Nothobranchius furzeri: one gene and its partners. The protein of the gene in region 3 purifies or fractionates together with the protein of the main gene of each other region. This does not show direct contact. Links are inferred from orthologs where the notes say so. Each region holds a gene or a part of one and is shown on either strand. Other genes may lie near its edges. The genes, in order: nepro, rpl6 and npm3.

Region 1 (3,753 bases), on a different chromosome or scaffold from region 3:
GTAATTGTTTCTCTCAGGGCTTTTATCATCTCTGGTGTGAGTTTAAAATATAAGTGTGTTAGCACTGTGTTGATTATCCCTAATATGAATAAATGTTTGTTTATTCAATGTTTCTCTTCTTTAATACGCAATAGAAGTTATGCTATTCATGGATAAAAAATCGTGATAAAATCGAAATTGTGATAAAATATTGGAAAAATCGTGAAATTCTATTTTTGCCATATCGCCCAGCCCTAGTCCAGGTAAAACAGAAGACAAGACACTATACCTCTTTTGACCAAAACCCCCAGGTCTTCTGTAATCTTCCTCTTCTTTCCCTGGGTTCTCTCTTTATCTGGAACATTCTTTTTGCTTTGCTGCTTTATCTTCTGATCTTTGACGTGAGAGTGAAATGCACAATGCGTCTTCAGTAATAATTTATCAGAAGGACTCAGAATCTCAGCGATAGTAGCTGGCAGGGAGATGCCAGTGAGGTATGGCATGGGTTGGGCCTGGGACACATCCCTGAGGAGTTCCAGGACATTCGGGTACAGTTTGGCGAGCCCAACCAGGATACCACGGAAAATCACCCTGGTAAGGCACAGAAAAGGAGAACTTCAACAGTTTTTACATTTTAAGATACTGGTTTCAAACTGGTTTCAGTGGTTCTTAAGCCAGTACCTTTAGCAACTTCACATTGGACATAACTCTGTAGGCCTCCACTGACCAGAAACTGCTATCAGTTCGCCAATAAAAAGCCCAAAAAAGATCTAAACATAGAGGTAAAACCAGAGTGAACCTCGGCACAGCCTACACTCATCTGAGGGAGTTAAACGAAGCTACAAAATTTCAGACTGATGGTGACCTGGATTTGTTGCTACTGCACGTGTAAATTTAAAAAATAAACATTTTTTTTTCCCAATGGTGTGGACCTTTTTACTTTGTGGATCATTTGGTATCAGTTGGCTCTTGTTCATCATTAGCGCTAGCTACAGCAGTGTTGTAAACAAGAGCCCCATTCCCACCTGTACCGGGTCGGCCCGGGCCGGGTAGCCCCAGTCGGCCCCAGCCTGGCCCGGTTGATTCCACACATCATTGCCTTAAGCCCATGTGGGCTGCTTCTACCCACCAATCAGAGGCTTGCTCTAATGGAAGGTGTGAATTTGCTGTCAGCAGTGGGCGTGTTGGCCCTGGTCGGCCTGAAGCAGTACCCCTTGGGAAGAGGGCCGAGAATGAGCCTTGGTTGGCCCGGGAAAATTCCAGGCCACCCAGATATGTAAACAACCTACGCTACCCGGCCCGGGCCGACCCGGTACAGGTGGGAATGGGGCTTAATGGACCATTCCCACCTGTACCGGGTCGGCCCGGGCCGGGTAGCGTAGGTTGTTTACATATCTGGGTGGCCTGGTATTTTACCGGGCCAACCAAGGCTCATTCTCAGCCCTCTTCTCTCGAGGGGTTCTGCTTCAGGCCGACCAGGGCTAACACACCCACTGCTGACAGCAAATTCACACCTTCCATTAGAGCAAGCCTCTGATTGGTGGGAAGAATCAGTCCACATGGGCTTAAGACAAGGATGTGTGGAATCAACCGGGCCAGGCTGGGGCCGACCCGGTACAGATGGGAATGGCCCATAATCTAACACGAGGCACTGCTCCGAAAATGATCAGTAAAAATGGCTTTTTCTGGAGTTACATTTGCTCCAGCCTCTATTTTGCAGTTTCTCAAAGTTTCTCTTACCACAAACGACTGAGCATGCTGGTGATCACCAAACACAATAACACAAACTCCTCCAGTTTCATTTGCTGCCTCGTGAGTCTGAAACAAAAATGTGTTAAGGATAAACCCCCCCCCCAGCAATAAAGTGATCAGAAAAAGACTAAACCCTAACTAAGACGCCAGCAGTCAAAAACGACATGACACCGATACTTTTATGATGCACACAGATAACACAATCCTCTAAAACAGGATACATAAAGGCTCTTTTGCAGCGGGTCAAGGTGCAGCTTAGGAGTTTGCTGGCTCCCAGGACTTTGAGGCAGGTCCACTCCAGCGTGGGCTGACTTGGAACATTGCACTCACCGCTCTTGGTGCACAGTGTCCTAAAAATGCACACAAATTAACATTAGTTTGAAAAAAGCTGTGTAAGGTTGCGCTTTAGATATTTTAAAACTTGATTTGACCTATCCTGTTTCATCAACTATAAAGGAAGAGCCTTGGGTTGTTTGCTTCTTACATTTGAATCTTAGTTGGACACAAATTTGCAAGATCCTCAAGAGCTGCATCAAGCTTCATGTTCTTCAGTCTGTTTACACATTGTTCAACCTGTGGGAGAAGTCAGACATGACAAATACATCTAAAGAAGTCCACATCAAAACAGTTATTCTGCAGCTTTGGTGCTGACCTGTTGTAACCCCTTGAACGTCTTGTTGCCTCTCATGCTGTTGTTTAGAACGTACAGCAGCTCGTACAGAACTCTGATTTCCGTCCAAAGAATATTGCTGCGGAGAAGCTTCAGGACTTGGCTGTTTTCCCGCTGCAGGGTTTTGAAAACCTCAGCTAGAAACACACACACACACACACACACACACACACACACACGAGTGTCACCATCGAAGCACACGACGCAAAACCCCTGCGCGCACACGTGAGGGCTGAGATCGGCGCGGTTTTTACGCGTTGAAACGAGCGCGAGACATCAGACAATATAAGTAAAACACGTAATTATTTTAAAGTTAAAAAGCCAAACCTGTTGTTGATGTGAGACGTATGTGGACGCTTGATGTCGCACTGGGAAAGGGAATGTTTACCCTGTTCCATGGTTCCGCAGCCATGCTTTCTGCATTCCATGTACGGAAGCCGATTAGCCAATAGTGTTCGAGTGTGTGACGTCAACATTGGATTTAAAGGTACAGAAACAAGTTTGACACTTGAAATCGAAAATTGAAAATAATAAAACTAATAGATAAATAAGACATTTGCTTATTCTTCTATATTTTTTAAATTGTTACAGAAACAATTTACCATTTTTAAAAATCAAAGTATTTCTAAGACATTTTGAAGTGAAATTCAACATATTTTGAATATTTAAAATCTACAGAAAAAAGGATATTTTTGATAATGTATTTATACACTATGTGGTAAAATTGGAAACATTTATTAAATATTGAATAAATATTTTTAAATAATTTTACAAGTTTGCCATCCCCACGTGCTTGAGCTACTTATTTTTTTTAATGTTGCAATATTTGCAACTCTGCTCTTGCAATGTGCACACATTTAGAAAATGAATTAACGTGAATACTTTGCTTGCATAATAAAGTTTTAACACCCAGTAAAAACTGTACCAACAGATTTGTTGTAATAAAAACAATGTGTTTTATTTAACAAATGCAAGAAAATGAAACAAACTAATAACAAGATGACTCCAGTGATTCACTTAAACTCAATTTTCTTTATCCAGTTGATAACTTTCAGGTTGATCTCATCCATCACAGAATCCTCAGACCTTCCTTTCACTTTCAGTCCATGGCTGCCTCCTGCTATCCATAAAACTTCAGCCTGAGCTTTTATATCTTTCAGTACTCCACTGAAAAGCTCCTAAAAAAGATAAGTAAATACAATGACTGAAATATAATTGTGAAAGTTGAAATGGATAAAATAATACATGATGTCACTAAATTATAGATTTTAGGATATAATGAACATAAAATTAAACAAATAAAAAACTGAATAAGTGAACTTAAAAGGTACCAGGATGAAGGCCCGGTACAT
Region 2 (3,753 bases), on a different chromosome or scaffold from region 3:
CATTGACCGAGGTCGATATAAAAATGCAAATATCGGCCTGATACATCAGCTGACCAACATCGGTCTACTTCTAGTTAAAACACAGCATTCTTCTGTTTGAGATTATTTAAGCTGACTTTGTTCAGATACCACATCTTTACAGACTATTGTAGCCAATAGTTTTCATGCGTAAGGCAATACTGACATTAAACGGATAAATAAGTTTTAACTTTTAATACTGCCGGTAATTTCTTCAGCATCCTGATACAGTTTAAGTCTGAAAATGCATTTGTTAAATAATAATGTATTCAAAACAATCTAAAAACCCTTTTTATTTATCAACTATCCCACCTGATGCCTTTTGTCAGTCAATTCTGCACCACTGATCACATCTTGATCAGTGCGCTCCAGAGTCTTACCTTTCCACGGTGGCGACCGGTAAGCAGAATGAGGACTGTTCCAGGAGTGATAGAGGAACGCAGATTCCTCTTGTGCAGCTTGAAGGGCTTCTTCCCATGGCTCTTCAGCTTACGAGGAACATCCTCCGTTGGGTAATAGCGTGGCTACAAGGACGACAGATTTAAATTAAACAAACACGTGAACATGCAAATGTTTTAAAACAGTAATGAGTACGTTTACATGCAGCCAATATCCGGGTTATGATCAGGTTAAGGTCGGTATTCGGGTTTCTGAGTTGATCAGAATAACCCGTTTACAAGCATAAATAGAAAGAATTACCTCTAACTTGCATAACCCGATTTAAATGCAGATGTTGGGGTAGCGTTAAGACGTATGGACTACGTCCAGACGCAATATGCGTCAATTCTGGTTCTTCTCGTTCCGGTATCCGTGAAAACAACAACCTGTCTCCCAGTTCGGAAGAGATAGCGACCGCGTTTGTTTGCGCTTTAGTTTCTTCGTCACTCCAAAAGTGTGGTGCTGTGCCACAACTCGCCATGTTGCTCCCCACCTGTTGTTTACTTCCGGAGTTCTGGCGCATACAAGACGTCTCGCTACTCAAAAGACCAAGATTCCTTGCGAACAGAGCATGCGCAGAACACACGCTTTGATGAGGATATCCCGGTATGCGTTTACACGACCAAAAAAGAAAAGGGTTACCCCAGGTGTAGTAACCGGGTTTTTTAAAAACCCGGTTATGAGCATATCCGGGTTTTTGGCGGTGTTTACATGGACCTGCGGAACCGGGTTATTGTGAATAATCGGGTTTTAAATGGGTTACTGGCTGTATGTAAACGCACTCAATGAAGGTATGACCATACGGTGTGTGCAAATTATTTAGGAAGATGTCAGAGCAGAATAGATAGTTTAAAAGCTTGCAATTTACAATGTGATGTCAGCCGAACACTCATGTGGGACAACTGTATTTCATCCACTATCATGTAATAGAATGACACTTCCTTTTAAACCAGTGTTTCCCAACCCTGGTTCTCAGGGCACAATGTCCTGCATGTTTTCCATTGTGCCCTTTTAAACACCAGTGTTTCCCTGCTGCCACACACCCGACTTAAAAGAACGAGTGACTAACAGGCATCTGTGGCGCTTGATGCATATCATATGGAAATCAGGTGTGCTGAAGCAGAGACATGGAAAACATGTAGGACAGTGTACCCTGAGGATCAGGGTTGGAAAACATCGTTTTAAACTGACTAGAAGCCTGAAGATGCCAGGAGCTTAACACAGAGGGCTAAATTAAGAACATTTCAAAATACAACACTTTACAGAATACTTACCATCTTGCGCAGCTTAACAACGCGAGTGCCTCCATTCTTGTCTCCTCCAACAGTCTTTACCACCGTAGCCTGGGGTCTGGTCTTTACTTTCTTTTCAATCTAAAAATGAGAAAATGAAGATACAAAATCTAACCAAATGCTGTGTCCTACACTTTTGGAATCAAATAATATTAAGTGACAAGGACCCGTCCATGCCTTGGTCTCGGTGGTCTTGGTTTTCCTCTTGTACATTGCCCGGCGGGCGTACATAGCGGACCGGGAGTAGCGGCCAATGCCCCGGGCCAGAACCGGGTTCCGGCTCCCGTGCTTCTTCTTGGCAGCCTTCTTTTTATCTCCCTCTGCCATCTAACAGAGGAGACAGGTTGACGGTTATTAGAATATTAATAGCATCATTTATTAAATAATCATGGTTTTTAAGACTTAAGTTACACTTTGTGGGCAACTACTGCCTTGGTTTGGAGCCGTGGTGGTGTTGAACTACAACACCAGAACTGATCTAATGACAATCATAACATTAACCCTGTTGGTAGCCAGTAACTAAATAAACCTGCACGGGTTACAGAGAACTACGAAAACATGGCTCACTACGGTTCTGGTAAAGGTAAACCATGACAGATAAAGCTACAAAGGCACCAAATGCATAAGACGAGCGTTAGCAACATGCTAGCAACACATTAGCCGAGTCCATTTGCTAATCACATTTCTTTATAAATTTGACGCGGAGAGTAAAATTAAGCAAGAAGACAACTAAACTATGAGAACAGAGAATAGCATAAACGGACACGTTTCTACAAACGGTGTGAGTAACGACAGTCTGGACAGAAGCTATCCGGCGGCCTATGCGCATCGGTGCACTAAACTCTTCCTTATTAAAGCAACGCTGTGAACAAATTTCTCTAATATTGACGTCTAACGGATCATGTAAATGTAAACTTTAATCTCTGAACATTTTCAGGCTCCAGTTTTTATTCAGTAACACTGATGAAAGCAGATTTTAATTTCTTGCGTTACACGAAAGCAAGGCTGTCTTACCTTTGCTATGAAAAAAAGACCGACATCCGGGGACGTTACGCATATAAGGACGCCAGACGATGACGTTGACGTTTTAACGTCAGCTTTAAACAAAGTTGTGTTTTTCTGTTAGTCCAAATTATTTGTAATGGCTGTTATTTGATCACGAGGTTTTATTTATCCTATTTCAGTAAAAAATCTAAAATTTAATAATGGTTAATATATCTGCGAATGAACCACTGTTGACTTAATGAACGCTTGTCCTGTTCCAAAAATAGAAAACAAAAAAAAAAAAAACTATTATGTAAATGGATATTTTGTGTGACTATTTTAATCAATGTAATAATCACTGAGAAAAAATGCTTAAAAATAATTTAAGCTGTGAAAAAAAACCTGAGTTTATCCCCCCGGCCCCCCCAAAAAGGCCATAAAACATAAAAAAAAACTATAGGTTATTGCTGATGCGCAAAATATGTCTTGTTATAAATTATTGTTTTTTTATTGAGAACATTTGAATATTTCTGGCTTTTGCCTATTAAAAAGAAACACTACTCATAACAATAGTTAAATTAAGGATTTTTATTTTATTTTATACAAAAATAATTGTAATGTCAAGCTTTTGTTTGATTTGTTAATAATTTTTGTAGTGGCGTGTCATTAGACTCAGATTAATCAGAGTTTAATAAGTTCTGTTATTAGTTTTGAAATCAAAATAAAACATCAGGGGTAAAAATAAAAATACCTACAACAGGATCATTTTGGACAGTTTTATTTAAATTTTCTCATTTTTGTTTCGTCACAGAAGTACAAAATCGGTTAATGCAACCGCCTCGATTCTGGCAACACTAGACCCTAAAAAAGGAGTGATCCACAACATTTAAAGGCAGAATGCTGACACAACCCTGGACACAGAGCGGCATTTTAGGCACATACACACATAATCCTAAACCTTTGTACCTCAATAGATGCAGATGTGTGCTGCAGAAATCAGCTAATACCAAATACACAGTAA
Region 3 (3,753 bases):
CTTTCAAATGGTTAAAATTTCAATTTTCTTTTTTTTTTTTAGAACAAACCCTAGACACGTTTACCTACTGGGACCAACATATTCAGTTATTTTATGATTTCTGCTTTTTGTTTCCTGATTATATTAAAATAATTTGAAGGGGCTACAATATTAAACCGTTATACAAAGTTCAGTTCTTTGCTGTGACTTTAAGGCCTGGTTGTTCAAATAAACAGCTAACTTTACCTTCAGCCTGATGTGGTTAGTTAAAGAATCATTAGTAATCATTAACCTCACGATAAATGAATATTAGTTCAGACTAGTTTTACACAGATCAGTGCAGATACCGTTCATCTGCAGCTTTATAGGTTTAACCTCATGTTTAGGCTTTTCCTGTGTTATTGAATGTTTTCTAATCCAAATATTTAGTTTGGGTTTAATATTCAGTACATTAAATCTAAATTAGTTTTCTATTGATTACAGTAGATAATCAGACACTACCCTATAGCTGCTTGTCAATGTGGTGTTTCAGAGTTGTACATTTCATAATGTGCATGAGGTGTATTTGATCTGCTGTGGAGGACATGAATAAAAATCTCATCTGGTGCTGCATAAAAGAAGCATGCCACCTACAACTAAAAGTATAATGGTGTTGTGCTTAGTCTGTATAAGCTGTCGTATGGTGATGAACTTGTAAATAATCTTTCAAACTGGCATGCAGTCTAACTTTCAACGGGCTGCTTTTCTTGTACACCTGCATCAGCGATGCGTGAAATTTGCTTGCAAATTTTCCCTTTGACAAATTAAATCGATGTTTGATTTCTTTTATGGTTCCTTTTGCAGTATGCTGATATTTGTGCTTTTTTATGCCAACTTGATTTGACAATTAGGAGAAAGGGCTCCTCTTGTACATTTTGAGTTTAGATAGGGTGATTAAAGTAACCGTTTGTCTTTGTAAAATTTCTATGTATAATACGTTATAAAATCAATAAAGCATATTGAGTTGCTACAACAGGTGTCGAGTGTATTGATGGTTTGGGGGGATATTTCTGTATGGTATGGTATTTTATCCTAAAACGTTCTAGTTTATACTGCTTTGATGTGTAAAGTCAGGCTTTTTTATATCAAAAATAAGACCCCACTACGCGTCTAAAACACACTGATAAATTCTCACTAGTAAAGTAATATGTTTTAAACAAATTGTATGACAATTGCGAAACTGGCGAACCAAAACAAATCACCAACCTACAGGCGCATACTGATGACGTAGAGATATGCTATTTATCCGCGACTCCTGTTTTTCGTGAAACACTTTTAGCCACAAACTCTGACCATTTCAGCTGCCGACACGCTTTAACAAAATGTCTTTTAGTGAAGAAGAATCCGTGGAAGTTGGTTTTACTGGTCAATCAAAGTTGGAGAGCTTCTTGTTCAGTAAGAACCATTAAAACTTTTTTTTCGTGCCGCTCTGTTGGTGCACACGTGGGTTAACGGACGCTCCGAACGACACGAAAATGTCTCAGTGTCTCTGCTGCGAGTTTGATTCTTGTTTTTACTATTATTTTATCTTTAGGTTGCGAGTTGTCATCCAAAGTGCCTTTCTACACGTTCCAGGAGGACGAAGACGAAGACCTAGAGCATTTGCTTGAACTCAGAACAGTATGTGCTTCATAAATCTCACATTCGCAGAGTAGCCTCTGCTTGTCTGATGTTAACGTGCATGTGAATTCCACGTCATTCTTAGTTTTGTTTCTTATTATTGTCGCAAATTACCACATGAATCGTCCTCTATGTGGCTTCCAGTTGTGTGGGTTTCATCATCGTGTTTCTCGCAGATCTGTCTCGGTGAAGGTGTTAAGGAGGAGAGCAATGTGGTGGAGGTCACAGCCATGAACCATCAAGGAAAGACCATCTCAGTTCCCATTGCTAACCTCCACATTAAGTGTCTGCCTATGGTAGGTGTGATGTAGTTGCTTGTGAACCACGCAGCTGAAGTCTGCACATCTCTTACGTTGTGTGTTTTGGTTGTAGGTGAGTCTGGGAGAGTTTGAGCTGAGGGCCCCGGTGACCATCCGGCTCAAGGCTGGAACAGGACCCGTTGTTGTCAGTGGGCTACACCTCATTGGTAACTTTTGGTTTATATTATAATTAAATTTGTATTTAATCACTCCGAGCATTCATGTGATCACCACTTAACCTTAACTGGACTTATTCCAGTTGCCTTTATTTGACCCTGTTGAATGATCATGACCTGGATGACTGGGAGCATTCGCCAGCACCACTTAACCTTATTTAAGTTTTATTTTTTTAAACACAAATGTAAACTGTTAAGGGACACTATTTAGACAGCCTTTTCCATTTCTCAGTTCTATTCTCATTTACTCATAAGAGTAAACAAACCTCATTACTGTTTGTTAGTCATTCATTTTTTTGACCAACGATCATGTTGGCAGAGATGGTTTATTTGGATTATATACTTTGATATTTACTTTAAAGCTGGGGCCTGTCGAGTGACGTCATCACAGAGGTGGGGCATATAAGGAAATTTGAACTAAAGCTCCAGCTCCTCCTCTAAAAGGAGCTGAAAGCCACGCCTCATACCTTGCACGAATGGAAAGTGGAGCTAAAACAATAGTGTGGTTTAGCTTAAAGAGCATCTTGTAACTAAAACCACAAATAACTTTTTTTTTTTGCTAATTAACTGTATAATTTTCTGTATAACTGGGTCTTTACAAATGCAATCTTTCTGTTTCTGTGCATTTTTTGACATGTTTGTGTAAACGTGATTAAATCTAGAATCTAGATCTAAAAAAGTCTTAGTGCTGCCCCCTGTGGCAGAACAGCAGCTACTGCATTTTAAACTTGTGATTGACTGGGGCTGGAACTATTTCATGTCATCGGTACAGTCTCCTCCCCCTCCCACCCAGGATGGAAATTCCCCACACTTGGCCATGCCACTCTGTGCTTCCTGGCAACACCCACTTTCATAGCATTTTTCAAATCTTGACTAGGGTTGGAGTTACATTTTCTGATGGTGCGCAGTCCCCTGTTCATTGAAATGGTAGAAAAACATCCAAGATCAAAAAGTTACTTTGGGTGTCCATTTAGGTTTTCAGATAACTAGCAGGTGTTTAAAAATACAAAATCAAGAGAAGTGGGCAGGCTTCTCTAAAAACGCACAGTTTTGGAGTCACATGACACATTACGTACCTTGAGGTAGATGTGCTTTACTGCTGTTATTTTTAGTTGCTGAGGTAACACAGAATCAACTAGTTTAATGATGGTTAATGTTTGTTTATGTTGGGGTTGTACAAACTACACAACACCACAGCAGAAGATAGAGAAGCAGAGGTCAGATCAGATAAACGTAGAAGCGACATGGGCTGGGGCTTTCTATTGGCATTGGTGTAACTGCAGGTTGCCATGTTGGATGGGTCACCAGTCGCCCCCAGTGCATTTATTGGACTAGAAAAGTCAATAGTAATCCCACATAATCTGTTTTCTACAGTACGCCGGCTGTTGAAACGTAGACCGCACAAAAGCAGGCATAGTTATAGCAGGTATAGACAGCACATCACACCCACTCTTAAATCACTGTACTGGTTGCCCATTCAACTCTGAATCAATTTCAAAATTCTGCTCCTTACGTTCAAGTCTTTGAACAGTCAGGCCTCACCATATCTGAGCGAACTCCTCCAGTTTAACCAGCTGAGACCTTAGGTCTGCAGATCAGCTCCTCCTCACCGTCCCTAAGGCACGTTTGAGGACTCGCGG

The links.
Region 1: the proteins of npm3 (region 3) and nepro purify together in Homo sapiens (affinity purification with mass spectrometry; 4 studies listed by BioGRID and IntAct, with this or other methods). This does not show direct contact. The link is inferred for Nothobranchius furzeri from reciprocal best matches to the Homo sapiens genes NPM3 and RMP64.
Region 2: the proteins of npm3 (region 3) and rpl6 purify together in Homo sapiens (affinity purification with mass spectrometry; 3 studies listed by BioGRID and IntAct, with this or other methods). This does not show direct contact. The link is inferred for Nothobranchius furzeri from reciprocal best matches to the Homo sapiens genes NPM3 and RPL6.

What each region holds. Positions count from the first base shown.
Region 1 is NC_091754.1:12,629,956-12,633,708, reverse strand, and holds the start of nepro (nucleolus and neural progenitor protein), read right to left. Parts: upstream 2,902-3,753; 5' UTR 2,814-2,901; coding exon 2,729-2,813; intron 2,539-2,728; coding exon 2,384-2,538; intron 2,305-2,383; coding exon 2,216-2,304; intron 2,082-2,215; coding exon 1,953-2,081; intron 1,798-1,952; coding exon 1,720-1,797; intron 571-1,719; coding exon 269-570; intron 1-268. Other genes in the region: tex30 (testis-expressed protein 30), read right to left, coding at 3,415-3,579. UniProt on the Homo sapiens protein: May play a role in cortex development as part of the Notch signaling pathway. Downstream of Notch may repress the expression of proneural genes and inhibit neuronal differentiation thereby maintaining neural progenitors.
Region 2 is NC_091757.1:55,600,793-55,604,545, reverse strand, and holds the start of rpl6 (large ribosomal subunit protein eL6), read right to left. Parts: upstream 2,273-3,753; 5' UTR 2,076-2,272; coding exon 1,926-2,075; intron 1,830-1,925; coding exon 1,731-1,829; intron 543-1,730; coding exon 399-542; intron 1-398.
Region 3 is NC_091752.1:22,151,343-22,155,095, forward strand, and holds the start of npm3 (nucleoplasmin-3), read left to right. Parts: upstream 1-1,166; 5' UTR 1,167-1,340; coding exon 1,341-1,413; intron 1,414-1,552; coding exon 1,553-1,638; intron 1,639-1,814; coding exon 1,815-1,934; intron 1,935-2,010; coding exon 2,011-2,104; intron 2,105-3,753. UniProt on the Homo sapiens protein: Plays a role in the regulation of diverse cellular processes such as ribosome biogenesis, chromatin remodeling or protein chaperoning. Modulates the histone chaperone function and the RNA-binding activity of nucleolar phosphoprotein B23/NPM.